4 linked regions of the Styela clava genome follow. The protein of the gene in region 1 purifies or fractionates together with the protein of each later gene. This does not show direct contact. Links are inferred from orthologs where the notes say so. Each region holds a gene or a part of one and is shown in the gene's direction. Other genes may lie near its edges. The genes, in order: cysteine-rich protein 2-binding protein-like, transcriptional adapter 3-like, histone acetyltransferase KAT2A-like and WD repeat-containing protein 5.

Region 1 (7,888 bases):
AAATCAAGTTTTAACATCAACATCTGGTTTTTGGGTCACATACATTTATTGGGTTAACTCATGGGATGCGCAAAATCATGTAATGTATGAGAAATATGATGTGTTTGTCAAAAATTGAGGCTTGTTTCAATTAGAAAATGCCAGTGTCACCAATAATTATTTTCATTTGCCAACTATATCATGATGCTGAAAAACGTAAAAATGATGCAATACCGAGTTTTTGCAGTGACATATTTATCACTGTCTTCTTGTCCTGAATATGCAGACTAACAATACTGTGTTTGGGGCCGACTGCTTCTATGTGTGTTTTGCAAGTGGACTCGAGTACTACCTAACAAGAGAGATTTCAACGCAAGAGAAAATGCTATTCTATGATTAATAAATTAGATATTCAAATTACAAAAATCGTCGCATGGTGCAAGGATGCTTAAACTGAATTGCATTAACGGATCCTCCAGATTCTGTATTTTGATTTTTGAATTGCCCATTCTTAGTCAAGTCATTGCAATAAGATTCCAAATATATAGGAGTGGAATAGTTATGCTCGCTCACCTTATGCTTGCTCACCTAGATGTCACCCATGCTCTCCACTATATTTATTATCCGAATCTGTTTTTATTTCCAGATTTTTCCTCTACCTCTCATATATCTCGCCAACTTGATTGCTGGATTGGGAGGAACGAAGAAACTAAGTCTTCCAATGTTTACTGTACTAAGAAGATTTTCTATTTTGTTTACATTGATATTAGAGTTCTTTGTACTCAGGTATATCTCATGTAGAAATATTTTTCACTCTGCTTTTGTTTTAGTTTTTGTGCCTCATTCAAAATTTGGCATTACTACATTGTATTGTGATTCGTAGTATTAAAAAGTCAATGTACAACTTTCCCATATAGTCTCTCACTATTAAATTTGGCAATATGAAATATTTTAGTAATTATATCAAGAATCTGAATGTATTTGTTATTGACCCTTTAATTCCTATAATATTAGGAAGAAAGCAAGTCGAACTGTCACCTCAACAGTCTTGATGATGATTGGAGGATCAATTATTGCTGCAAGGTGAATCAGGATGTTGTTATAGTTTTATAGTATATTTAGTTTGTTTCTACAAACAATAATATAATGTCATATTCATATTTTGTTTTGGTGATTGATATCATGAATTTCCATACCGTGATAGGAAAGTAATTTTTCTAAATCAATTTCAATATGACTGACATACCTACTTTTACTTCTAGTAATTAGTGTATGATAACTGTTAAACTTGACAATGTATTATCTATAATATGCATTGCAAATACATTTAGATTTGCAATAATTGAATACATTGTGCATCAAAAAATATAATAGGGTACCTGGCACGGAGTAAAAAAAACGTTTTGAATGTGTTCCAACTTGTTTCAATTACAGTTTGGGTATAGTTTTATACAAGAATTAATATTAAATTTAATGATAAGTACCTTTTTATATCTGATTATTTTTTCGTATATATTTGTATAATTTTGTATTCAAGTTGATCTTACTGATTTTCTATTTTTAGTGATGATCTTGCATTTGATTTGGTTGGATATACGTTCATTATTGCTAATGATGTTTTCACAGCATTAAATGCAGTTTTTATGAAGAAACTTCTCAATGCACAGGTATCTGAAATTATGCATTCTGTTGTGCATGAAAGTTGTTTATTTAAAGAAAAATTGTTTGCTCCCAATTTTAAGATATTCTAAACTTATTTAGATTTGGACCCAGGGAAAAAAATTCTGGTATTTCAGTTTTCATCACTCAAAAAATTACCTACCGGTAGTTGAATTGAATTGCAGGGCACAGTTTGTTATAGGAATTTTTTTTATAATAAATACTTTTCCGAATCTCTTACCTGATCTGCTTAGTCATATATATTAATATATATTCAAATATAAATTGAATATTTGAAGCATTGTTGTGAGGAAAATGTGTTTTATTTATCATTTATTCTCTGTTCAAACCTTTATTCCACTTTCTTGTAGTATAAATCTGATACGCTTTGTTCTTCTATCTCATTAATTGGCTCTTACTTTTCTATGTATAAATATGTAGGCTATATGTGTGTATTTTTTTTACTTCAAGCTAAGCTCATGAATTAAACTATGTTATGACATTCTTTTTCTAAAATTTTCAGGATCTTGGGAAGTATGGCATAACATATTACAACTGTTTATTAATGCTTGTTCCAGCTGCCTGTATTCTTTATTATACTGGTGAATTAGAGAAAGGAATCTCCTATCAAGGATGGGATGAATTTGCATTCGTTTTCCAATTTCTTCTCTCATGCGTAATGGGGTGAGTTTTTTGTTTGTTATATGTCATTGTTATCTAAATTAAAATTCGCTACTAAATACTTTTGCTAACAACTCTTCATATAGCTAATAAGTCCCTGAGATGAAAACTATGATCAATAAATCGCAAGATTGATTAATTCTTGATAAACTGCATAGGCATAACATGTGATACAAACTCGTTTTGAATATACTGCTCATCCACAAAATCCCCCTCATTTTCACAATAACAGAAACTCTACTTGATAAACAACAAATTGATTATTTGAACTTAAATTCCTAATGATATAAATACTTTGCAATGTAGTTAATTGATCAGTGATTTAATATCTTTAGTTTACTCATTCTTTGCATTCATTCAGGCATTGAACTCCTTATCGATTGGATTGCATAAACTTACAAACAAACAAAATGATTAAATATGATTGTACCTTTTATTACTAATTAGATGACATTGCTTTTTTCAGGTTCATCTTGATGTATTCAATAGCAGTTTGCACAGCTTATAATTCCGCATTAACTACAACTGTGGTCGGTTGTTTAAAAAATATCGCAATAACATATTTTGGAATGATGTTTGGTGGTGATTATTTATTTTCTTGGATCAATTTTATTGGCGTTAACATAAGGTAGGTCAGCGATTAAAGTTGTTTCCTTACTATTCTATAAAGCATTTATTTGCAATAATACAAGGTGACCCAAAAGAAGAGAGCGTGACTTTTGTGCAAACATGGGGATGCTGACTCTGGTGACAGTATGGTCCTATCGCTCCCCACAGTCTATACCAAAAAACTTTGTGTATGTTGTAGTATATTTTCATTTTTGTTGCAACTTGTGATGCTTGTTTTTTCTGGCTGACAAAATAATAAATCTCTCTTATCCTAAATTACTGAAATGAATTGCCTAAATTACTGAAACAATCATAGACAAACAAACAAAAGTTGAAATTATTTTTAAGCATTGAACACTTTCATGGGATTAAATGGCTTCGTTTTGTACATTTCCTATATCTTATTTCAGAACCACCATCATTGTTGAGTTAAAAAATTTTTTTTCATTCATTTCAGTGTTGTCGGCAGTATCGTTTATTCAATATTTACGTTCAAAGCTCAACAGGAAAAGAACAAACCAAAAAAACAACCACAAAGTTTATGATGGAAATCTATTAATGAACTATTTTTATTAGTTATTTTTAAATTGAACTTCAAATCAAATCTTCATTGCACTGAGACATATCCAACTTATAGAAATTATTATTTACATTTGTACTATTAGTGTATAATATGTAGGTGCATATCTAGGGGTGGTTTTGTAGCCTAAAATGAGTTTAGTTTGGAGAAAAAAATTCAGTTTTGCGTGAGATTTATTATTCAAACAGGTTATGTTTAAAAATCATTTATTGTATAGTATTTCAAAATTTAAAGAAAAAATATTTCCGATTTAGAATATTTTGACATGATAAAGCTGCTTAAGCTAAAAGTGCCACCCAAATATATAATGAACATTGTTACGATTTATTTTTATCTAAGTACAATTCTAAAAAATGTAAAAAGATTGTGTCCAATAAGTTAAGTTTTTATTAACTTCCATTAATCATTTGCTTCATCTTCAATTCTTTAATTTTTATTGGTTTTGTGCCTTGCTTATACTTGCATAGTGGTCATTGTTTTCTTTCTATGCTTAGGTGCTGATGAGAGAATTTTTAATTTTATTGTTAATTCCAACTGCCTTACCAATTTTTCTAAATATAGAGCAATTGTTATGTACTATTTAACTTTGATAATAACTTTATATAAAATATATTATATCAATATGGCTGGCATCGTATTGATACTTCTAAAAAGTGTCAGTAAAATCTTTGTAGATTTGTGTAATATCATCAACACTTCATTTTATACCTCACACAAGTCAAACCATATGCTTAATATGATATTTATAGGCATAGCTATAATATTTCTGATGTGATATGGCATGTAGTATAACAATATTCTCCTGCATTACACTTAATATATTTATAATTATTATGCAGTATATCGTGCATCTATGTAAAAAAATATTGGGAAAAATTTAATTTTAAAGTATTTTTAGCAATCTAAACAATGTGTTAGCTTTTTGTTTTTGACCAATATTCTTAATTAAGCTGTCTCCTATTTTGTGATTAAGATGATTGCCATGGATATCCATGTCTGAATAGTTATGAATGGTAACTCAGCGTTGTGTTTTGGTTTTGGATATTGTTGCCATCTAGAATTCTTCCTTTCAATTAATTTTGATTTCGAGAAATCTAACAGTATGATATTTTCCCACTGTTTTATGACACTGCCGTTCTTATTGAGTTATTGCCAAAAATTGGTCTCAAAAATCCTTTTTGATATTCAAATTCTTATTACACAAGTTTTAGGAGTTCTTACACTACCCTTTTCAATAATCCATGTAAAATGTTCATCCTTTTGTATTGAAAATTTCTCGTTTCTTAATAGATTTGGTGATAAAAAAGGTTGTAGGAGAGAGCTTGTTCAATTGTAGATTAGCCACTGTTAATCTGTGCACGTAGTTCATGTTTTTAACACTTCCAATTATTTATTATCTACATGTAGTTAATATCATTAGGCTAAATCGCAACAATGTCTGACCAAGAACAGATAGATGTAACTACAACAGAAGACGCTACAGGTTTGTGCTGTATAATTTAAATCTTACACGATTGTTTTCATACCCTAGCCAGAGTCTAGGGGATCCAAAATCGGAATTTGAAATTCTCACGCAACTAAAACGGTCATCATGATTTCGCCACTCAATAAAAAGCTGGCTTTTTCAGCGGATTATGATTTGTCCGTTGCGCAATACATTCAATTCACAACCGATACGAGCATTTAAAATGTCTTGTCCTGTTAATGTAATTGTGTTCAACATAACTCGAGGTTACGTTTTTGCACCCCTCTGGCTGCGCCACAGACTAGCCTCTAGTATCAATCAGTAATTGGTAGGAATTTTTAATACTTTGTAACTAATTTTGATGTTCAGTTTAGCTTGATGTTAAAACATGTTCTATTAATTGAGCTGGTTATACCTACACCTTCTTTTTAAAACTATCTTATTATTGTTGCAAATGGTACGCGATCCCCTACACTTGTAAGTAGGGTTATGGAGTGCTCGCAACTTAGTCCAATTGCACTTGTCAATGGCTAATGTTTATAAAGCTGAAGCACTATTCATATCTTGGTATCCTACATCAGTGATTTAATGAATATGACCCAGCAGATTTCTTTACTGATCCATTCATGTCATGTATGAATTTCTGTGTTTTGTATTATATTATTTCTTGTTCTTAGCAGAGCCTTCTACAAAGACAACTTCATCAAGATGTGGATATTGTGATTGTGAAAAAGAAGGCTTACCTGTGTTTCATTGCAGTTCTTGTGCTAAATGGGTTCACACAAGTATGTTGTAACATATGGGTTTTATTTTATACCGTTTTTGATTATAAAATGAATGTTTTTTTTTTCTTAAACATGAAGAAATATATAACATACCGGTAATTATGTAAAAAGTTTTATATGGATGCTATTCAAATTGATGTTTTTGAAGATTGCAAATTTGTGTTATTGATTTGTTATTATATTTGTTCAATATTCTTATGAGAAACAGAGATTGGGTATATTTGTTTGGAATGTATTTATTGACCAACTTTTTTTAAATGCATCCCAAAATAGTATTTTTGAAACAAAAAAATTGAAAGTTTAACAAATATGAGTATGTATTCTTGAAGGCATGAAAGTTGAGATGAGCAATGATTTGAGTGTTTCTTTAGAAGTTAGCTTTTGGAATTTTTCGTTAATATATTCCATTCTCTATGACAGGCTGCCTTCGTTCAGAATCACCATCCCCTCTATTGTTCGATAATTACTACGTATTCAAATGCATAAGTTGTTCTGAAGATGGAAAAGAAAGTTTTATTAGAATGAGAATAACATGGTATGGGAATTTCATTTGATATTTTGTAAAAACATTCATCCAATTATTTAGCAAATTAAAAAAAAAAACAGTTTCTATTTATTATATTATTTATGTCACCAAATTAATTTTGACAGGAACCAGGCAACTGCACTCTCTCTTTTTAACATGGCCCAATCTGATCCTGGGAAACAAGGATTTTTCAAATGGAAAGAAGATATTTGTGATTTTGTTGAAACTCATTGGGATGTATTGTTCGAGTCATAGTGAGTTTACCTTATAAATTTTGTTGTCAAATTTATTCCCATTTAAAATATTAGATTTTACAGAAAAAACTGAAGAGCTGTAAAAAGACAGGTATAAATGTTTTTATGCAGCTTTTTTACGGCAGACTTTGTACAATTAGCCACTGGTACATAAGGAGCTACTGTTTTTAGAAGGCTCGAAATCCTTCCAGTTTGACATCACCGTGAGGTGTGGTCTTAGGGTGGTCTGCATGACCTTTAATTAATTTGCAACACCAATATTTCTGTTGCTTATAGGCTATTGTGCCACTTCCTATTGAAATACTTCTGCAAGGATACTTATAAGAAGATTTTGCAAATAATTTTGTGTAATATCACGTTATCAGCAGGATGAAAGTTGGGGCTTGGATGAATACCATTGCATCAACCATGTCAGCTGGCAACCCTCATCAATTTACAAGTGGATATGGATTTTTCAAGGAATCAGGATGGTGGAAACTAACTGATCCTACCAAACCCCCCGAATACACTCCATCTAGTGATTCGAGGTTCAGAGGTATTTTAATATTTTTTTTTGCTCATCGATTTTGTCGTGTATCAGATCATAAGTCAACAAACAAATTCTTTCAAATAATATTTTATTGTCAACAATTGTCGGTACCATACTGCTATTTGCTATTTTCTCTTTGTTTTATTCAACAAAGTCTTGCTTTGTAGTTAAAACAGCACTGAGGTTAGAAGAAGACCAATATATTCTGTAATATAATAATTTGTTGATTTAATTTTGCCAATCCAATTATAATATTTTTTATTGATATAGAATTGCACAGAGCTTTTAGAACTTTTTTTTTTTATAGAACAGCACTTTTACTTATTTCAATTACTGACTGATTTATTGATTGACTGTGTGATATATTTAATAAGGTTAGCCAATGTTTATCAAATCATTTGTTTATTATTGTTTACTTTAGAAGGAAGATCAAAAAAATTTAAATCTGGATCAGCAATGACTCCTTCACCCAGTCTAGGACGAACAGAAGGATTAAGAAAAAGATCTTATTTGTCATCTGCGTTCAACGCCTCACAAATTAAAGAGAAACGAGCTAAAACACAGGTAAATGCGCAGAGCTGAACATTGAAAATATAAAATAATGTTTCAGTAAAACAGAGTAGGATTTTAAATAAAGTATTCAGTAAATTCATGAACTATGTCAGATGTTGAAAGCAAAAATGATGCTGTTTTAGCTATCTTTTATTTGCTCTTGACGGTTAGCAAGTAGTCAAAGTGGGCGGAGTCTATATTTGTTTTGGCGTTATCCATGAAAATATCTTTTCATGAGGTTACATCTGATTTCAGAAATTTGTAGTAGT
Region 2 (7,938 bases), on another chromosome or scaffold:
AACGTTAGCGATTGGCTGTGCCTTCCGAATTTTGCCGTGGGATGGTCTGAAAGTATTTGTTTCCTATGAGGAACAATGGACCGGGGTTCAGTGGGACATGCTCTACAGGGCACAATTCGACAGTGTTTGATACAATAAGTGCTTAGAGACCTAGAGATGCGTTATATTTTATGTAATATAATGGTTTCTTTCGACCCATGGCCCAATATGGAATATATTCGAGAATCAATAATATTTCCAGATTTAGATTCGAGGAAGGAAATAATCAAATTTTTTTGCAAAATTTTTTGTCAAAATATCTGAACTATTTCAGTTGAACATTGATTTTAAAAATATTAAATCTTCAAATTCGAAGTCTCCCCGTACTTTAGACGATTATGCTGATTAATTGCTTATTTTTAAGGGCATACTTCGTTGAATTTTGACAGACTGACCCATTGTGCCCCAGGGTCTGTCCGATTGTGCCCCACAAGTGGGGTACAGTGGGACACTTGACGTTTTTCAAAGCATTTTGGTAGTAAGATGTGTGTCGCAAGGGAATTTCTTTGTTGCTGAATAAAAACTACATTTACCCCTCTATGCATTAGTCCCGCAAACTTAAGAGAATATGCAGAATTAACGGCTCAAAATATGCAAAAGAAAAAAAGTGTCCCAACCTTCCCCACTTTCCCTCTACTGTTTTTATTTTGACAGAAGAAGACGCAACCGCGAGTTATGTTGGGCTGAATTAAATTAATATATAAGCACATTTTAGGTTCTTGTAGTTGTAATGGATTAAGTATTTTACGCGACAGAAAAATCATTTTACGCTGAGAAGGCCGCTCTTTAAACGAGCTCGTAATCGCGGCGACTGTTTCCGACGGGGATGCGAATTTCTCATTTTTAACCAATATGTGATAATTGATGTGATTCTGAATGTACTCAACTAATAGCCTATTGGACGATAACGACAATAATAAAAGCAGCGTGAAAAGTTAACAACAACGAATGAAGTGAAATGCAACAAAAGCATTCCACGTCCTGGCATTCCAAATTTAGTTTTCATCAAAATCCCTGTGCTTTGTGAACTTATACTGTGTAAGTGTAAACAGTATTTTTTATGGAATCTATCATCAAATATCCGTTACATCTGACGTTCGACTGTTCACGTTATCCTCAGCTTCGATCAGTTTTCCATGATAAACTTCACGCAGACCAGCATGATCTGATGCCAAAGTGACTATAGTCAATTTGTCTGATGCGAACTGATTCATATCGTATCGGTACTGTATGGTGGCCCATCGTTGTCACGTGTAAAATTTGAAAAAAAAAAATGATAAAATAAAATGAAAAAGCGAAAATAAAAAAATAGATGTGAAAAAACATAAAAATAATTGAAAAAAAGAAATAAAAAAAAATTGAAATTAAAAAAAAAAAATTGAAAAAAAAAACAAAAAAAATTGAAATTAAAAAAAAAAAATTGAATAAAAAGAAAATAAAAAGGTTGACAACGATGGTCCGCCTCGTGGCCCATCGTTGTGACGCGTTTTTATTTTTGAAAAATTTGATGCTGCTTGGGACCAACGTTGTCAGGCTTAATCCTACACGCACAAATGTGTTTCCTTGGTTTCTAACTCACTACTGATTTTCATGAGCAATATCCAATAAATTCAACATGAAAATGTTCTATAAATTCTCCATACTACAAGTTCAACCACAAGCAATATATTTATAATAATGATAAGAGAATATAGAATTGGATACGAAAATTTGTTTTCACGTGTAGAAGGTAATTTAATTGGAAAATGCTGCTTAACTGCGTAGTTGTCTGGACACTCGTGCGATGCCGGTACGGTACCGTCTGACCGTACCGGTACCCATGCAATCACTCATGAAAGAATGGGAGATACGGATAGTCTCGTAGAATATAGTCTACTGAAACACTCTCTGCGCCTGCCCCATACCGTACAGCCGTAACGTACCGATCCAGACAAATGATAAATCGCCCGTGCTAGATTTGGGATTAGGTTTCATGTTTAGGTAGATATAATTCCCCATGATAAACTTGTATATGGTACATGACTTTGTGAATATAGCGGTAATGGACCTTTCCCCGACCTCTGACCCCCGGAAATTCTTCCTATACTTTACCATTGCAAAATTTTTGGGGCTATTTTAAGAGTGCTTTTGCGAGTTGGTGCCTGTAAAATGGGGTATGTGTTTCTAATCATCATTATAATTCATCGCATACAACAATCTGTTTTTTTAAAGTACCGGTAAAGGATTTCAAGCTAGTCTATTACAGCTATTTCTACACTAATTTTTATTACTGCAATTAAATTAAAACTCCTGGGAAGACAGAGTGATCATTGAATTATCTGATTTATATTCAAGTTTCCGAAACACAACTAAAAACTCACGAATAGAGTTTAAAAACGCGAAAACGAGGTAATGTTTACAACCACGCTTGAAAATCTGTCTGAGTAAGAAAAATGTCTGGGCGGATGCGAAAAGTATAAGTATATAAGTATAAGGGGGCATTGTTACGTCACTTTTTGCAACTTGCTGATTGGCCAATGTCACGAAGTAAACAAGAAAGTCGATACTCGGGGAAAGGTCCATGGCGCCATAAAACCATGGCATGAGACGCCGCGGTTCGTTCGTGGCAGAAACCGCCATGAAGTGGTAAGAACTGCTCGGGCGCACGATGCTCCACACCGCCCACCCCCAACAAGGATTGATAGTTCGCTAGTTGCAGGCAGCCTGGTTTTGTGGTAATTGTCTTTGACAGTTTAAGTAATTTAAGCAGTACCGGTACCGGTATGTCACTACTAGGCTCTCGCCAGGTGCAGCACGACTGTGCTGTACGGAATCGTACCGGTATCATTAATTTATTGAATTCAATGAAACTAATTATTTTGGCGAATGATTGTTTAGTACCGGTACCGGTACCGTACGGGGGTACGGGGGTACCAGTCAGACGGTGTACAGTCCCGGTACATGGTACAGCTGTACAGTACAGTGATAGGTACCGGTACCGGTACCGTACTGTCAGACTGTACGGGGTGAGCGTGGTCTAACCATTTTCGCATATGTTATTCCTAGGCGCGCGCGGCGGTGTGGCTCATCGTGCTAAGTGTTAGGAATACGCTCACCATCACACCTCTGATTACTTTGCGTGGGTTGGCAGGTTCGCAGGTATGATTAGGTGTGTGAGGATTGCTGGACTCCTCCTGCACAATCATGCGATGTTCTTTTTTTCATTTGTAATTTTTATTCTTTGATTGATACCACCACCACCCTATATGCAAATTAAAACAGCGTTTATTGGCGCCTTGGCCGATTATAATATGACAGTATGATGCAATATCGTCCAAATCTCCGTGTATGCTATCAGATTCACAAAATGGATAGGAATTCACCATTTTTATAGATGGATTTTCGTATGCCTCGGTGAAAATTATTGAAGATGCTGTTATAAATAGTCTGAAGTGTTTATATGTACTATATAGCTTTGGAAATATGGTATTTTAAATTTTTCACCCATTCAGAAATTGCCTCATTGTCACGATTTGATTCTTGTCTAACATAAAGTAAAATTAAATTTGAGGAAATTATAATTGGCCCTACGCCCTTCTTATTCTTTCTCTTTTTTTTCACATTTTTTATTCCTATTAAAAAACATTATGATCTGCGAAATTATGTGATGTTCCCGTTTCTTGTTCCTTGTAATTTTTGTTCTTATTTCTGTACTTTTGGGGAATTGATTTCTGAGGCCTCCTAAACGGGCTTAAAACTCAAAAATTTATTATCCTCTTATTGTAATTATGATGCCTGCTTTAGAGTGTCCTGTCCTGGTAGAATCTCTCCTTAGGGGTCGGTTGACCTTTGAATTCTTGTCCATCCTCGTCCGTATATATTTTTATGCCTATTGTTGTTTGCTATGCTTACTGTATTATGTACTTGTATCGGAAATAAATCATTATCTATCGCCGCCGTAGGGTGGTTCACGTAACTGCTGGTCGGTTACGGCTTCCTCCAAGTTCATGCTTCCGAAAAACAAATCACTAATCCCTAACTGACATGGAAATGGTAACCGGACGAGAGGTTGTGGTTCGCCATATGGATAAAGATATGTAAATCCTATCCTAGACCCCACCTTACTACGCCAATGTAAAATCTCGTCATAGAGCCATATTACTGTTACAGGTACCGGTAGGTAAATGCAGAAATGTGTGTCTACTGACAGACATGCCTGAATTCTGAGATTAGTCACAAAAGAGGCCCATACAAAAAGTAGATGGAGGCTGGCACTAGAGAACATAAAGTCTTTGCAATTCCACAGGTCTCCAATTCCAAAAATAGATTTCACATTAAAATACATCACTTATGACAGTGAGTGCAAACCCCTCCTTTACGGGACAGTCTGTGCCTCCATATCGGCAAAATTCACAGCGCAATAAACTAAAAGAAAGTGTGATCTAAAGACGCCACCATCGGATCCATTGGAAAAAAAATAAACCGAATTACAGAATAAAAAAAAAATATTATATCGTTTAAGCGTGCGCGTAACGTTCAAGTGTCTTAGCAAAAAACTCAATTTCGAATATGTGATGGCCGCGATTGATTTAGATTATTTTCGAGACAAGCAGGGCACGATCTGCCATCGTGCCAGACGTCCACGTTTCAGAGATAAATAAGGTTTTTATTTTATTGAACCAAATATCGGGATATCTTGGAATCAGAAATATGTGCCCTACTGAATTCATGTAGTCACCGAGAAAAGAGATGTAGCCTACCTACCCTTTGTTGATGTCACCAACATAAGTAGACAACTCAATACAGACACATAAAATAAAGACTGCCAGGGCTCTCTATCAATCCCTGGCCTTGACATTCCTAATTTGTCTAAATTGTACTCTGGAAAGCGCAGAAATTACTGACTAACAATTTCAAGTTGCAAAAATGACATTTTATATGAAAAAGGTTGAATTCTAAAATATCCAAATTCACAGTCACAATGAAATACTGTTAGTGAATCGACTCTGCAATATTTCATACGTTTTAAGTGACCTGAGAAAATCTCAGATATTGTTTTTATTTCATACACGTTCAGTACGGCACAGTTCTCTGATTCCAAGAATAGCCCCCACATTAAGAGACATCAATTATAACAGTGAATGCAACCCCCTCTTTTATGAGACAATCTGGGCCTTCATATCGGCACAAAAGAGCACACCGGCACCGCACAATAAACTAAAAAGAAGTGCAATCCTCAAAACATCATCATTGGACACCCCGGAAAAAAATAGTTCGATTTATCAAAGGAAATAAATTTTATCAGAATATCACGCACGTTGCTATTGATTTAAATTATCATTGAGACAAGCATGACGTGATCTGCCTGCCGTAGTGTCAAACACCCTCATTCAGATACATATATTGTTATTTTTATTGAATCAAATGTCGGAACATCTTGGAATTTAAGCACTGTGTCCTACATACATTCAATTTCACAATAAATTGAATGGCGAAAATCAGAACATGTCCAGTAAAACAAGGTGTATTGCAACCTTAATTTTTACTATTCATTGATTGGCAATCATGCATCCTAAATAAAATGGTGCATATTTAATAGTTCTAACCTTATCTCTAATTAACAAACCATACTTTTGATATAGTATTGGCATTTGTATAATACAGTAACATTATTGCAATGGACTTGAAAGATTGTTTCTTACAATTTCCTGATGTGAAGCCTGTGGATCATGCTAAAAATTGTCCAAGATACACAAATATCGTTAATCGGCATAAAGATGATGGAGTATCATTGGATGAATTAGATTCTTTACAAATGGAGTTGGAACAACTACTTGCCGCTGCATCACAAAGGATGAGACAATTGAACTCGGAGATTGGCATATTGTCAGACCTACAAGACAATAAAAAAGACAAAAAAGTTTCCAGAGGCAAAGATACTGAGCATAAGCGCTCTCGAATAGTTGAAGATCGTCCAGTCAAAAAGATGAAAACATCAGACTCATCATCTCATATTCATGCTATAAAACCCTTATTTCATTTGAATAGTTCAACGTCATCACCAAGTGGTGCTGGCAGGTCGAAGGCAAAAGGCTCTCGCATTGAAACAGAAACAAATGACGAATTACCCGTTTTACAAAGGAATGCTGAAGTTCCTAATAAGTTTTGGCAAATGGTTGATACATACTGTGGGCCCATACCACAAGAAACAATTTCGCTTTTAGAGAAAATGGAAAAACCAATTTCTGAGGAATATTTTGAAATTCCCCCTCTTGGCAAACATTTCAGTCAAGTTTGGGCAGAAGAAGATTTGGCAATGGAGGAAAAAGAAGGGGGTAGAATTGGAAAAAATAATAGTAATACTGAGTCATCTATTCAGAGGATAATGAAAAAAACAGCAGAAAATTTGAATGATGCAGAACCATGCCCATATGGGTCACTTACCCAGCGATTGGTTTCTGCTTTCGTGCAAGAAAATATAATAGCGCCACTGGATTCTGGTCTTGCCAATGATGGAAAAGCATTTGAAGCTCTTACGAACAATGACCAAAATGTTGCTTCCAAAAATGGCAAGGCATCTAGTTCTCCCCATACCACAAAACTGGAGGCCCGAATAAAGGCTGAACTATATGAACAAGGTCTTATTGATCATTTTTCTGAAAATGATAAAGATGAAGATGAAGTTCTTTTGGAACTGAAACGATGTCAACAAGAATTGAGGGCAATAGGTGATAGAAATAGGACAATTGTTTCACAACTTTTGAAACTTTCCAGAGATGATATGAAAAAACAAGAATTGAGAAAAAATATTGAAATAACAAACATTGAAGTTACTGAACATTACAGAAAGGTTTTTGCTGCTCGACAGAAAAAAAGAAATTTGATGAAAAAGGAAAAAGAAAGTGCATTGAAAGCTATAAAAGAACGAGAAAGTTTGGTCAAACAGTTAGAACAATTGAACTGATTTATATTCAACGCACAGTTACAGATTATAAGTTTGGTTTGAATCTAATTGGACTCGTGGTAAACATACCCATGCACACAACCTCTATCGTGTATGGGGATGTTGAAATATCAATACCGGTAATTAGAATTCAATTAATCTAAATGGTCTATTTTTACAATAACGTGTTTCATATTTTAAACAATCATGACATTTCCCTGACAATGGTAAATTTTTTGAGTAATCTTATATGCATTTTGTTTATCAAAACTAAACATACCATGGTCATTTTGAATAGATGCTGAGTAATTTGGTTTGTCAATTGTTCCTGCAATATCTTGTATCACAACTTACGAGTTGTAGTTTAAAACCCTAATTTGAAAAGACATGAGAACTCATTAATATGATATTATGTGATGTGAGTATGTATTATTTTCTATTACTGTTGTTTCTCTATCTTTGCAAATTACACATTGTTGGAATTTTGAGAAAAATTGACTTTTTTTGGTAAAACAGAAACCTTTTTTTCTTTCCTAATGTTTATTCGTTTATCTTTTTTATACAGCAGAAATTTTGGTAAAAGTTAAATTACATTCGTAACTCTAATTTTTCGACTATGGACGAAATATTATTTCCGAGAGGAAAAGCAAAGCGTGAACCATCGACTTTTAAGAAGAAGGGTGCCAAACGCCAAGCCGCAGTTGATTCTCTGTTTTCAGAAGGAAGCAAGTCATCTACGGGTGGGCATTTTACAAAAGAAAAGAAAAAACCAAAAGAAAAAGATGAAATAATCAAAAGTCATGGTATTAAAGATGTGGATGGATTGTTACAAGGGATGGATGAAATAAATGTGGATTTTTTGCATTGCAAAAGAGTACAAGAGGGAACACTGCTGTTGGGGTGTATTCGTGAGATACAGGAACTGCAACTTGTTGTTGGTATACCTCATTGTAATACTGGTCAAGTACAAGCTAATC
Region 3 (7,763 bases), on another chromosome or scaffold:
GGGGTATAGACTACAAAACATTGGAATTGACCATCGACTGCAAAAAATGATTGTGAAGTGCTAGGGTGCAGGAGTTGCCAAGAGTTTGGTGAATGTGGAAAAATATCAAAACTGCAAACGTCAATACTAAAAGTATGTAACTTTTATGTATCGTAACTTGTTGATACAAACAATGATACCGGTACCCCAACTAGTCTGCTCGTCCAGCCAACTAAGGTTTCATTGAATAGCGATTTTACAGTGAGTATAAGGATAAGATAAGGATAAAAGTTCTTTAACCCCGTGATCGCAAGTACTTTAACCCCTTGATTGCAGCGTGAGTGTGGGCTAGCTGGGGTTACTCTGATGGATAGTGGGGCATTAGTTTTTGAATGGTCTGAAAATGCATGGCCAGTTTTAGTGATATAATCTACTGACCTTTGTGCCCACCCACTAAGGGCCCACAGAATTTCCGTACCCAAGGTGAAGAGACGTTATTATGAGTTGGATTTTCAGTCCCTTGAAGATTAGTCTATTCAGAAATATTAACCGAATAATACACAAATAAATGCTGACATGTGGAATTTTTGGGCATAGTATGGCCAGTATATATATATCTACTGTCTAATTGCAGAATTGTGATGAATAACTTATGCCCAAATGTCCCATAAATTCTGAAATTTACATGTAGCCTACAGATGTATTTGTATATCTATTTATTATTTTGTTTAAACAACTCCCAAGGCTGCAATGGGAATCAAACTCCTAACTCGAACTGTCTTATGCCACCTCATGACCCGAAAGTTTAGTTTTAGCACATCCAACCTAACTCAAAGTCGGCTGCATGACAATTATAGATCGAATATTATTTTCAACAGAGAATTTCAGCCGTTGGTTAATATAGCTGTGAAAATCTCATAAAGTTAGTAGAGTGGTTACTAATGCTCTGTCTCTGAACTGTCTTCACCTGCATATAAAATATGAAATTATCTGACTTAATTCAATTCCTCTTTTGTCCAGCAGTTCAACTCTATCTATTTTGCCTAATTTGAGAAATGGATGATATCAAGGCTGTGATTGCAAATGTCACTGATGTTATCAGATTGAAACATGAAGTTTCAAGTGGTGATGTACATACCCTGGAAGGAATGTATCAAACTGTTATCAATTTGTTGAAAGAGAGCGAAATACAGTTTGACAGTGTAGAACTTTCTGAATCTCAGGCAAAAATATCAGTATATTTTGTGCTACAAAAGTTTATACAGTGTATACAAATTCTGCTTTTAAAACTTGGTAAGGAACTTGAGAATATTGGTAATCTTTCTGAAGGACCATATTTATCAGTCGCAGATGTGGATCATGTGTCTTGCCTATTGCAATTTGTGTTCAAATTTGGCATTGTATCTCATCTTGAACCAAGTATACAAGGAATTATGATTTCAAAAATTTCACATTTCTATACTGAATTTACCCCAAGACAAAAATATGGAATGCTTCTTGAGAATTCCTTATTTATCCATGTTATTTGCAAAGCCATTGAAATCAGAAACATAGTCACCAAGAATTTATTACCTGAGATTATTGCATCTTATATGCAATTATGTTTTTCTCCAAATTCCGCCAGATTAATAGACATGAAAGATCGAAAAAGATGTTTACAAGTTCTTAATGAAATAATAGAATCATGGATTTCAAAAAGCCGTCTTATACAAGAGATTTTTGTACTACAAGGAAACCCAGAAACAAGACTTTCGCCAAAATGGTTGCGAGAGAAATGTGGATCAATATTATCAAGAACATTGCTGGAAAAAGAGGGCATGAAAGCTATTATTTCTGCAGTTGTCGAAAACTCGCGCGATTCTGATTTCAAAACTGCTGGATGGGAGCATATAGTTGCACTTTCTTCAATTATTTCTACCCTTCCTTCGAAGGGTATTCCTGCTAAAAAATATTGTATTTCGATTGGCCATCAAGCGATTGAGTTGATTTCTGATTCGCGAAAAGACAATTCTGAAGCTATGCATGTTGTCAGAAAAGTAGCTGTTACTACTCTGCATGCTCTTTACGAAAAATATCATTCAGAATCGGATATATTGGAAAGTATCATATGTAAACCTTTGTCGGAATGCTGTTTTACAATCGGAAAAGAAAAAATGTTCCATGAAAATGTTTCTTCTGAAGAAATAAATGACTGCATTGAAAACTTACATGATATTTGTATTTCCATCGGAATTGTTCCTGATGTAGCACTTTCTGCACTCATCAAACCCTATTTGAAAATATTCTTTCAGTTGATTTGTGATACAAATGAAACTTCTTCTCATCTAAACTTATTGACTAAAGAACTTTTATGTAAATCCTTAAAATGTTCAGATGACTTGAAAGCAGAGGAAATGTTTTTTTCAATGTACGGGCAAATTAAAAGCACAGAACTTGGGATTAAAACTCCATTGATTAATCTGAAGTTTGAAGTGGATGCAAATGGAAACGTTTGTCCAATAGCTAACAACAAATTTTTTGAACCTTCAGAAGTCTTACAACATCAAGATATTAAAGTAAATGTATTGCTAGACATTTTATCGAATATGGATAATAGCGGATTTATTGGTGTTGTGTTTATTTCACTTTTAAAAATTATTTGCGATCCATCGAAAAATTTTCCAAATGAAATTAATGAGGACAAAATTATAATGACACCTGAAGATCGAGCTGTTCAAGCTTTGAAAAATAACGAGACTCGATTTATTACTTTCGGTTTATTAACGACAATGTGTGAGACATACAATCCGAACACTTTACTTTCTGATGTTTCTCAAATAATTAGCTTTATCAAAACAATGTTGCAAAGTCTGGATAATAATTCACTCGAAATGTTAGGAACTTGTGCCAGTGTATTGGGAATATGTCTAATGAGCGATATGACCTCTGAAGAAAAGAGTGAACTGTTGTCTGTGGTTCCATTGTTGCAAAAAATATGCGGTAATAATAATTTGGATAAACATACAAGAGATTTGTTGTCGGATCTTACAATTGCAATATCAACGTATGGCGCTGTAAATGAAACTTCAATGGATGCATTCTCAGTATTAATGAAAGAACAAATGAAAAAGTTTGAAAATATGGATTTGAGTAAAGAAACCCAACCAAAATGTAATGAAGAAACTACATTGCCATCGCAAGCAGCACCATTGCTTGTTGATACAGATCGGGATACTGTTTTGAATTCTTCTGGCAGGGATCAGTCTTCAAGTAGTGAAGATACCATTAAGAATAGTAGTAAAGAGACTCATTCCACTTCAGTGACTGATTCTATCGCTAATGAAGAAGATTTCAATCTATCATTTTCTCAATCATTAGATGAAGTATTTGACCCCAGTCCTGCCATAAAAGGAGGTTCAATTCGTTATTTGACTAAATGCATTGAAAGAAAACTGCCAATTGCTTTTAAAAAATTGGACAAACTGGTTGAAATTTTTGTAGAATGCTTGGACAACCAGGATTCATTTGTTTATTTATCTGCTGTACAAGCTTTAGCAGTAATCGGGTCTTTGTCTGTAAGCAATATTGCTTCAGAGTCTCTCCTAAAAAAGTTAATCAATATATTTATGAGAGATTCTGAAACCAAAACCCAAAAAAATAATTCAAATAATACCATTGATGCAAAAATGAAAGTGGGTGAAATTATAATGAGAATAATTCGGCATATGGGTGATATGGGACCGTATCACGCTTCTATACTATTACCAGAGTTTCTGAAAGGTTCTAGACATGTTAATCCTGACATGAGAGCAAGTTGTTTATCAAATTTTTCTGAACTTGCACCTATGGCACCATATTATTTATCTCAAATACAACAAGAAATAAATGAGTGTCTCAGCAGTACTGCAAAATCGGATCCTGATCCTATGGTTCGTAGAGCAGCTGTGCATGCTATTCGTAATCTTATAACTAAACTTGGTAGCAATTTTATACAGATATTTTCTAATGTTACAAAACAAATGTATCGAACATTGAAGTTTTTATATGAAAGAGATGAGGATACTGCGGTACAACTACATGCTCAGCTTGCTTTGGAAGAACTAGATAACATAATGCGTGAAACCATTTTTAAGAAGCAAACTTTATCAAAGAAAATTACAGTGTTGCCAATATAACATAAAATTTTTGTTTGTATCGTTATACTTAGCCTATCAGGACTCGGATTCTGGGAAACCGTACACCTGATTCCAAACTCTTATTCATTTAAATATTGGCTCTTGACACCTACTTAACAAAAATGTTACCTGAAGACTCCAGTTTCGAACTCTGATGAAACTAAATTTTGGTACGAAAATTTGGGTTTTGGCAAGACTTATGAATTACGTGTTTACAATGCGGATTTATGCTTTATGAATTTCTGTCTAAAATTTCGATTTTGTTTATCACTATTTTGATTCTGGAAGGTCAACTTCAAAACCAAAAAATTTGATATTTCGACCTTGTCTGCGGTTCCGAGAAGTTTTAACACTGATCCAATTCCAATGCCAAAAACATCCAACTCCAAATCTACATTGCTGCATTGTTCTGCAAATAAGACAAATATCTTAGTCTGCATAAGTATTTTTTACTGATCAGCCATGTTCTTACATGAAAATGATTTTTAATGTGCAATTATTTGTTTATTTTTTACAATTTTTGTAAATGTCCTGATCCTGATGCCTTTGATGATAGATGACACGTTTCCTTAACTTTCCATTTCTTACATTTTATGTTTCCACCTATTTGTAGAATACTGATATAGCCAACATACATGGATAATTCAACTAATGTGAAAGCTGAGACGTCACAAAAGAAATCTTCTCGGCAGTCGTTCGTCCCAAGTGAACTAGCTCGATCTGCCAACCTTGCAAAAATCCAACAACGTAAGGCACAAGTTCGAGGTTATCCACGGGTTAAGAAACTTGAGAAAATTGGTGTTTACTCATCATGTAAGGTTAGTATACATCAGTGCTGATCAATTTTTTTTTAAATGATGTTCATTCAACCTTTCCTTTTAAAGTCTGGTACATCCCATCCATCTTACTATAGGTTGGTAAAAATTATAAGAATTATGTGTGAGAGACTGAGAGGATCACTTGACTACTCATTGTCATAGGTAGCCCCCGGCATGGACTGGTAACCAGACAAGAGGCCGTGGCTTGCAATTTGATTCAGTTGTTGGCTTTCCTACCCTCAGTATAAATATGAAATTTCTATACTGAAACTCTCATTATGGAGAATATAATAGGCTACATGTATACTTTTTATACAGACACAGTTAGTTCGGATTCCATCAGACAATTGTACCAACGCCTATGCTGTGGCATAATACAAAAAGTCTTCCCATCTTTGTGACCACATTCTCTCAAGACCCAACGATAAAAAAATTGGTTCATGCCTCTTTGTGTTTTTTCACATGGGATAGGTTCAAAAATGACTAAGGTTCATTGTGATAAACTACAGCTTTGAAAATCCGATTCTCGGGTTATATTGTGCCATTGCCTAGCGATCCTCATCATATGTCAAATTATTTTAATTGCTTCATTTATTTTGTTCTGACTTTTCAGGATGAAGGATGTAAATGCAACGGTTGGAAAAATCCTTACAATCAATTAGCAACAGCTCAACCTGATGCATCTTCATCACAACAGGTAAGGTGGTAGGTTGGTTTCAAAATTATTAGCATAATCCCTTATTTCTGTTGGGCAATTATTTTCAACTAGACCAAATCTTCCAACTTTTCACAAAATATTGGTGGACTATTGATAATATATTACATTGGAATGGATTTTCATATTGATTCTATGGTGTGATAATTAAAGAAATAAGATTGATGAAAAGGATACTTATTCTGGATGAAGATCGGAATGGCGGGTGATTACTACTCAATCTGCAATTTGCAACCTCCAAGTTTTTGCAGTGTTTGTGAAAAATACTTGTTTTTGATGCCATTACTGATTTGTTTATTCGTTTTTCAGGTTCAAAGCACAGTGACGTTAGAAAGCAAATGCAGGAGTTGTACACATGCTCTGCAGAATCATGTTTCCCATTTGGAAATGAGTGGTATGCATCATTCTTAACAGTTTATGTCATGTGTTTATTTTGTTATGCATTTAGGGATCAAAATCATGATATGTAGGCCTACGGATAATTTACTTCTCTTCCGTCGAAAATTTTAGTTTTGTGAACTTTGAATTGATTTTAAACATTATCTCGTTGGTTAGGTGTAGAAATAAATTATAAGCTTTTAAATATCTCTGCTATCTTCAAATTTTCATTTTTGATTTAATTAAATGATAGATTTTGCTCATTAAATGATTACAATATGATAGAATTTAGTATAGTCCTACTCATATTTATGTCCACATTGATTCATTGAAGAAGATTGCAACTAGGCAATACAATATTCAATGAAATTTTTGTTTTAATACTTTTTCAGGAGAAGATGAAATCAACAGATTATTAGGAATGGTTGTTGATGTTGAAAATCTTTTTCAATGTGTTCAGAAGGAAGAAGATGGTGATTCCAAACAAGTTTATTTCTATTTATTCAGAGTGAGAATCGCAATGTTTTTCTACTGATTATTCTGTACAACCACCAAGTGGCGGCATATTATATATATCAATATTTAAGGAGAGATATTTTTGGAAGGATCTATGTGGTTGAATGTCGCCTAAGCCCTAATACACTCTAATGCAGTGGTTCCCAAACTTTTTGGAGTTGGGATGGGACCCACTATTTATTACCACAGCTTATGGCGACCCACTTAACTCTAATTCAGTTTTTTTTTGTTTTTTTATGATGTAACACAAACACAGCAATGGCTAATCACCGCAAAACTACTGTGTTTCCTCAAAAATAAGACCTGGCCTGAAAATAAGATAATAATTTAAATTTTCAAAATGATTTTATTTAAACCCTACCCTTAAAATAATTTTTAATTTGTGGGGAGAAGAAAGGTTCATTGGCCTGAGGTAAGGTGAAAATCACACCACTATTCAAGATTGTGTAATATCACAATTATGATATTTGTCACTTGATTTTTGTATAGCAAATACAAATAAAAACAATGGATGTCGGTTTTTATATAATGTTTAGTAAAACATCTTGTGATTTTCTACAATATAATTTTTTTTTCAATAAATGAACACAAAAGACCCTTTCCCCAAAAAAACCGTAGTGTTATCCTTCAAAAGAAAATAAATCTAAATTCTGTCTAAATTTCGGGGAAACACGGTAAGAAGTGCTGTGCAGTGTACAAAACTGCTATGCAAAAAAAAAGCCACATGGTCATTCTTTGTGTAGCAAATTTTTGTTCTTTTGAGAAGATCGTAAAAAAGAAACTTTCACAGATTAGAATTTAAATTCAATTTAATTTCTTTTGCTTTTTTAAAGATTTGCGTATTCGAGTCGCCACCGATCCTAATAACCAGCATAATTAACCAATGCTTTCTACATCTTTTCACGACCCACTAAGATTCCGTTTGTGACCCACCAGTGGGTCGCAACCCATAGTTTGGGAATCGCTGCTCTAATGGGTGTGAGATTTGAACACAAGTTGGCGACGGCCATACCGATTTTAAGTTTACCGCTTTAACTGCTAGTCATCGGTCATCACATGCTAATTAAGTAATTATTTAACTGTTGGATACTCAGCTTATTATTTTTGATTATTTTGTTTCAGTTGTTAAGAAAATGCATCATTCAGTCAAGTAAACCAGTGATAGAGGGACCTCTTGGTTCACCACCATTCAACCAACCCAGT
Region 4 (7,121 bases), on another chromosome or scaffold:
AAAAAATGAATTAGTTTGGTATAGACAGAAGGGAGTGATATGACCAGACGGTCATCAAAGTCAACTCCCCCCTTTCAAGCTATTATGTTTTAGATCCACAGTCACAAGTGTGTTGTAAAATATCGTGTGGGCAAATCAGATATATATATTAAAAATTGTCATCCACTCAAAAATGTACCGTAAATCCAATTGTTTTTCCGATTATTAATTTGATGGACTCTGATAGATTCGGCCATCGTTTTACAAAACAGTCTTTCAGTAACACAACAGACAACGAGTTCAGGCAGGGTGCTCCCGAAGTATGCGAACCAAGATGGCGGACATCGGAACGTAACATAGGTAACAGGTTAGGGTTAGGCAATAATTTTTTTCCAATTTTCCTTATTTTAGTCCTATTATCAGTTCGAAGACTAACCAAGCGCCACCCGTAGTATTTATACCTGAAATTATGGCCTAACCCTAACCTAGTACACATATTACATTCCGATGTCCGCCATCTTGGTTCGCATGCTTCGGGAGCCCCCAGGCAAGAAGTACGGTGCTGTAGAATAAAATGTTTAAATTAGCGATCAAAACTATAGAATTGGATAAACAATTCCATTTCACAAATAACTCAGGCTGACGTCTGCAAAACAATTTCGATCGCGAAAATTTGGGCGTGTGCAAGCTTTCTTATTTAAAATTGACTTCGGACTATGGCCTAATTTTTGTTTTATTTCATGTTAGAAACTATCCAAGAGTCATAATTTCCTATAACATATGAGAATGCATGTGTGTTGCACGAGAAATTATGTATATATAATTTAGTAGAGAGTATTTCACGTGCGCCGAATTAAAAAAAAACTTCATTGTTTCCAAATTGACTTGATGCCCATTAACCGTTCCGAGCCTGTCAAACCCCTGTGCTACTCGGCATGCTCTAACCGAACCCCATCGTACTGAACGATTGAAATTTGGACCCCAATACTAACTTTATAAATGAGAAGCTAATTTCGTGCAAGGTTTTAGAAAATTACATTATGGTCTAACTATAGATACCAATACCCCGTGTGTAAATAGCTCTTGTTTTGTCACAATAGTGCCGTCGGCAGGGAAAGCTGATGTTTTTGTTGTATAAGTTATGCGTGTGAAAAGGCGCAAACCGGATAAAAAAATAGCAATTTTAAAAATCCAAAAGACGATAATATGCCTCAAAAACGTTGGTAGTTCAAGTCATTCGATTCTCAAACTTCAAACTGCATTGAAATGCAGATAAAAAATTTGCCAATTGTTTTATTTTACAGAAATAGAGATACGATATGACTCGGCGCCATATCGAGGATGTCTGGAACGGATGATGATAATTTCAAGCAAAGCTCTGCAATGAAGTATTCTTTGTCGCAAATTTACCACCTAGTGAAATTCAAACGCACCCTGATTTTGCATTCATTAACCGCCAATCTTTGATTTTTTCGTAAAACTGATTATAAATTTATTAGTACGTTATAATAGATAATCATAGATAAGTACAAACACTAAAGCGCGCGACATCTGTGAAAATATGAGTTTCCAATAAAACATACTAGAATCTAAAAACATCGACGGGTCTACTAAAACTTATATATGCGCGAAGCTTTACACACAGCTAAGCTAATTTATTGGATGTTGAACGTTTAAGTTTTATTATCTGCGATCAACTATAGTTATTTTTGTATAATTAGTGGACGAGGTAATGTAAAAGTTCCATAATATAAAATGTTTCCGAGGACCTTCGTCGAACCTCAGGAACAGCTCCACCGAACCCCATGGGTTCCATCGAACCCAAGTCAAGAACCACTGCATTAGTTGGACACATTCCAAGGAGTGGTAAGCGTCTAATTGAACTACTTCGCTGTTCAATCCGCATCGTCATACAAAGCTAACGCAGAGGCCAAGATTGTAGTTTATGTCAACAAAAACACGAACGACTCAAACGGCTAGTGACTGTCTCAATCCGCAACTTTGTGTAACATAAGCTGCTTGACCAGCGGATCGTATGACCCGTACATTCAACAGGTCAATGTAAAGTTCCGAATCGCCGTGAACACTGCCTTGTTGCCGTCAGAATTTTCAGCTGAGCCTAGAATGGGGAAATGCAGTAACCGACACCCAACAGGGGTCAACGTAACAATTTCAGCTCCCACTCAGACCGTGTTTTTGTTGGGGCAGATTTTCAATCGTGACTGTAAACATTAACTCGTTTTCGGAGTTTTGACGCTCATTTGTCAGTTTCTAGTTATGCGCCATAAATTTAGGTGAAACTAAAAGAGCATATTTTTAATTTTGTTTCTGATAAAGACTTCGTTTGATTACAAACAGGCCTCAATAAACTGAGATAGACAATGTTAATGTTAGCTGTCGGTAATTTTCCTTAGAAGTGGTTAAATATTTCAATCGAAGTAGCTTTTTTGAACATCGGGTTGATACGCTTACAAAAGCAGCAAATTTCTGAAAAACATCCAAACGTCATATTAAAATGCAAATTTTCAAATTTATACGGTCAGTAGCAAATGATAAATCTAACTTTATTCAATATTTGAAGATCAGAAAAGGCCGATTTGGTTCTTCAGATAGGATTTCCAACCTTGATGCATAAGTTCACTTCACAATTGCAATTTTAGACTCAATGCAACGCTACCCTACTTTGCTGACCGATGGCGCTGTTTTTATGAGATTTGTAGAAGTTAGGATAGGATAGGATAGGATTTACATATTTATCCCGGGGGAGAGGAAAGCCGATGAGACGGCTTATCCATATGGCGAACCACGGCCTCTCGTCCGGTTACCATTCCAAGTCGGGTATGGGATTAGTTTTTACTGTATTGTTTGTTTTCGAAAGCATGGACTTGGTGATGGAGGAAGCCGTAACCGACCAGCGGTTACGTGAACCACCCAACGACGGCGAGGAGTCCAGCAATCCTCTCGCACATAACCATCCCTACATGGGATTCGAACCTGCGAACCCACGCAGAGTAATTAGAGGTGCGGTGGCGAGCGTATTCCTAACGCTTAGCCCGTTGAGCCACACCGCCGCGCCCTTGAGCCACACCGCCTACGCGTGTTGATTGTCGTTTTTTGTGTGGCGCTTGTCAGTTTGTTACCGCATATCGTCGGATAATCTGTATCATTTGTGTACGTGAAATTAGGTGTAACTGAACTTTTTAACTGCTGCCTGCTGACCTAGAAAGTTGCAGCATATCGTTTGTTTTTGTACTGCTGTACTGGGAGGGTTGGAGAAGTTACGAATGCTGAAATGTGATCTCTTCTTGCAACACTGACTCGGCTCTATCACAATGCTGCCATTCAAGATTATTTTCAAAATGATAGTTTCCACATTCAGACCTCGTCAGTTCGTTCTAATATTACTGTATTAAGCGCTTAGCAAAGCAAAAAAGTAACCAAAAAGCTCACTAAGCTAAAAATTCATTTTTAAACTTTTTATTTTGTTCAGCAATTCATTCGTTTGATGTTCATTTCTGTTAATGAAAATCTGCTAACTGCTGGAAGGTTTCATGCATAACTGTATATCATAATGAAACATGATATCATTTTGGCCATTCTCCTAAATTCTGAAATTTGCTAGAATTTCTAGCTAACAACAGAACAGGGAATTAACTTACAGCTAGTACTGTAGTAGCATATGTCTGTATGTTGGAATCGCGTACCAGAGATTAGAGATAAATATTTCTATAATACTGTAATATTTTTTAATATCTAAGAGATGTCATAATTCTGTTTCATTGATTCCACATTTGCAAATTCAATTCCATTTCTTCCAACTCATTTTTTACAAAGCCAAACTCTTCTGACTGTCTGATGATTCTTTAAATGAATTTACTATCATCAACTAATATGAATACTGGAATACCTATAATTTTTGTTGTAATTTGATAGATACTTGTAAAATGCCTACTGCTCTAAATGTAACGGCGATGTGTGTTATGCCATATGCCCTATATTATTTTTTTTTCTTCTGAGTACAGGAGTAATTTACAGATGACTTTTCAAGAGATTTATTCATAGTCTGATAGGGATAGCAGGATAGTGTTTCATTAATAATCTTATCTTTGAAATTTTTAAATATGCTTTGTTTTTAAATAGTTTTTAATAGTATTGCTAACGTTTATATACAATGCCTGAGAATACCCCATCTGGCGATAACAACTCCAACCAGCCAAAGACTGAATCAACTTCAGTTCCACCTGCACCAAGCAACAATGCACCCGCAGAAGAAAACAGTGCTGTAAAAGCTTCTACAGCTCCCAAACCAGCATCAACAAGTTCATCGAAGTCTGTACAACCCAAGCCAAACTATACACTCAAATTTACACTTGCTGGTCATACCAAAGCAGTATCTTCTGTTAAATTCAGTCCAGATGGACAATGGCTTGCAAGCTCATGTGAGTTGGTAGTGGGTGTATAGTTGATGTGAACATACAGACTATATCTATTATTTTTAATAGTAACAATACCACCTCAATTTATATCTGATATTTGCCTTGTTTTACACTGTTATAGGTTTGCAATTGTTCGCTATTTCAGTTGACAACAGTGTTTTTATCCGAACATTCATTGACAAATTTAAAAATGTATGATTCAGCTAGAAATTGGAAATTTATTGTCTCTCAGTCTCAACTTGGATTCATCCTTTGATAAAAACTTTGACATCCTTTGACAGTTTAAGACTTGTCTTCTCTTTTTTAAAGATAGATTTGGTGGGATATCATACGCACTGTGTTTAAGCTTTTATATGTTTTCGACTCAGATGTTGGTATGAACTAAAGTATACCGTATTGATTGTTCCAATTCTTGTTGTCTTATAGTGCAAATTTGATTCATATATTATTTATATTTGACATGTTATATACTTTTTATCACAGCTGCAGACAAATTGATCAAAATATGGGGAGCATATGATGGTAAATTTGAAAAGACAATTTCTGGACATAAATTGGTAGGCATGTTTTCTATGTTTCAAATAAGACCTCTTTTAAAATATCTAATTTTTGGAAATTTTAAGATTTTTTCATTGTTGGATTATTGTATCAGTACCCTCTGTTTTGTTTCAGGGAATATCAGACGTTGCGTGGTCGTCAGATTCTCATTTACTTTGTTCAGCATCGGATGATAAATCATTAAAGATTTGGGACGCTGCCACAGGAAAATGTTCTAAAACTCTCAAAGGACACAGCAATTACGTATTTTGCTGTAATTTTAACCCTCAGTCAAATTTAATCGTATCAGGATCGGTGAGAAGTTTTCGAAAATTTCATTTATATTTGTGTCTTGTGGACCACAGCTAAGATATCCGAAATCTTGGTCATGCCAAATTCAAGAATGAATCAAACTGCAGTTTATGAATGTGAAGCTCATCTATTGAGTTTTGTTTATGAAACAAGTAATTAGAAGAAATTTTACTAAATGAGTAAAAGGCTGGTAGAACAGAATATTTTTACTGTCCTGCTTTCATCATTACTTATCGATCTTAAGATCGGTAAGTATGTTGATAGGTATTTGTCTGTCTGTCTGTTTGTATGTTTGTCTGTTAGATGAACGCGATATCTCACGAACGCGTGGTTGAATCTGCTCCAAATTGTGCATGTGCATGCATCTTACCTCGGACCAGAAGCCTATAGATTTTGGGTTAATTATGTCGTATAATTAGCGAGTTATTAACTAATTACCGATCTAAGATCGATAAGTCTTCGGTCTCCGACCGATATTCTCGTTCCGATTTTGGGATAAATTATTATTAATTACATATTTTGAAGTAGGGGTAATTGTAAAACTTGTAATTTTTATTTTCTGACATTAATTTATAAATTTTTTGCAGTTTGATGAAAGTGTGAGAATATGGGACGTAAAAACAGGAAAATGTTTGAAGACGTTACCAGCACATTCTGATCCTGTATCAGCAGTAAGTATTACGAGGTATTAATTCAACTCAATCAAATTGAATAAGAAATATGTATGAAAGTAATTTTGTCCAGGTTTCTGATTGCATTATGATTTAGTGAGATATGTATGTATGTTTATTCGTCTCGTAATAGTGATAAAAAAATAAATGAACGATTATTATTATGTAAGACGGGATGCATGCACAAGACCGTACTGGCCTAAAACACAAATGTGCGGCATGCACCCTTTTTAACAAATATAAAACAAAAAACATTAGATTAAATATGTATATTATGGTCCCTTATATAGACAGTTGTGCAAGGTGGGGCAATGGGTCGTTTGGTGTGGTGAAAGTGGTAAGGGTGGAGTATACAAAACTGTTTATACTGTTTATATACTTTTTGTGAAGCACATATATTAAATGTTTTAGCATAAGACAGTTAACTGTTATTCATTCAACTAATATAACATAAAATACACGGTTGAAACATATTCATTGCTGAGGATATTTGGGCATTTATTGTTTTATCTTTGTTAGAGGTCAATGTTAATACTGTTCCATACTCAGGTTCATTTTAATCGTGATGGTGCTTTGATTGTGTCCAGTAGTTATGATGGACTTTGCAGAATATGGGACACTGCATCTGGCCAATGCTTAAAAACTTTGATAGATGATGACAACCCACCAGTCTCCTTTGTTAAATTCTCACCAAATGGAAAATACATTCTTGCTGCAACTTTGGATAAGTATGATAGCTTGAAAGCAAAATTTTACATTCCTTTACAAATCAAATTCAGTATTTGAACTCTGTCAATTAATAAATCAGTCAACACATGGAATTACTTTCGATATGCAATTGTGTCATTTGTTTAATTTTTCCTTTGTTTTTAATTCCAGCACTTTAAAATTATGGGACTACACTAAAGGAAAGGTAAGTTGGTTCACTTTTATTAGTGTGTCAGTTCAGTGCCACTGTTTTAATAATAGCTGAAATGAATGGGTCTTTGTTCCTTATCAAATATACAAGCACAATAAGTTACCTTTAAATATCAACAAATTCTCCCTGTGAAGATTCACAAAGAAAACTCACCCATGAATGGCAGATTTCCTCTTGCGATGTTTAATTGCCTATCTTACCATATCTCATATCAAAAAAATAAAAAACCGTCTTGCTGCACACTAACACAAATATATATCTTTAACG

What was found.
Region 2: the proteins of cysteine-rich protein 2-binding protein-like (region 1) and transcriptional adapter 3-like purify together in Drosophila melanogaster (affinity purification with mass spectrometry; 4 studies listed by BioGRID). This does not show direct contact. The link is inferred for Styela clava from reciprocal best matches to the Drosophila melanogaster genes Atac2 and Ada3.
Region 3: the proteins of cysteine-rich protein 2-binding protein-like (region 1) and histone acetyltransferase KAT2A-like purify together in Drosophila melanogaster (affinity purification with mass spectrometry; 4 studies listed by BioGRID, with this or other methods). This does not show direct contact. The link is inferred for Styela clava from reciprocal best matches to the Drosophila melanogaster genes Atac2 and Gcn5.
Region 4: the proteins of cysteine-rich protein 2-binding protein-like (region 1) and WD repeat-containing protein 5 purify together in Drosophila melanogaster (affinity purification with mass spectrometry; 4 studies listed by BioGRID). This does not show direct contact. The link is inferred for Styela clava from reciprocal best matches to the Drosophila melanogaster genes Atac2 and wds.

What each region holds. Positions count from the first base shown.
Region 1 is NC_135251.1:27,511,586-27,519,473, reverse strand, and holds the start of cysteine-rich protein 2-binding protein-like, read left to right. Parts: upstream 1-4,872; 5' UTR 4,873-4,942; coding exon 4,943-4,991; intron 4,992-5,650; coding exon 5,651-5,758; intron 5,759-6,178; coding exon 6,179-6,293; intron 6,294-6,409; coding exon 6,410-6,538; intron 6,539-6,903; coding exon 6,904-7,073; intron 7,074-7,488; coding exon 7,489-7,631; intron 7,632-7,888. Other genes in the region: nucleotide sugar transporter SLC35D1-like, read left to right, coding at 626-765, 994-1,062, 1,544-1,646, 2,162-2,322, 2,786-2,947, 3,386-3,473.
Region 2 is NC_135257.1:11,362,796-11,370,733, forward strand, and holds transcriptional adapter 3-like, read left to right. Parts: upstream 1-4,916; 5' UTR 4,917-5,695; coding exon 5,696-6,982; 3' UTR 6,983-7,420; downstream 7,421-7,938. Other genes in the region: protein RRP5 homolog, read left to right, coding at 7,578-7,938.
Region 3 is NC_135256.1:13,952,782-13,960,544, forward strand, and holds the start of histone acetyltransferase KAT2A-like, read left to right. Parts: upstream 1-4,756; 5' UTR 4,757-4,768; coding exon 4,769-4,951; intron 4,952-5,564; coding exon 5,565-5,648; intron 5,649-5,975; coding exon 5,976-6,060; intron 6,061-6,436; coding exon 6,437-6,552; intron 6,553-7,682; coding exon 7,683-7,763. Other genes in the region: transport and Golgi organization protein 6 homolog, read left to right, coding at 1,035-4,133.
Region 4 is NC_135254.1:12,754,764-12,761,884, reverse strand, and holds the start of WD repeat-containing protein 5, read left to right. Parts: upstream 1-4,102; 5' UTR 4,103-4,150; coding exon 4,151-4,418; intron 4,419-4,898; coding exon 4,899-4,972; intron 4,973-5,087; coding exon 5,088-5,267; intron 5,268-5,851; coding exon 5,852-5,935; intron 5,936-6,484; coding exon 6,485-6,663; intron 6,664-6,814; coding exon 6,815-6,848; intron 6,849-7,121.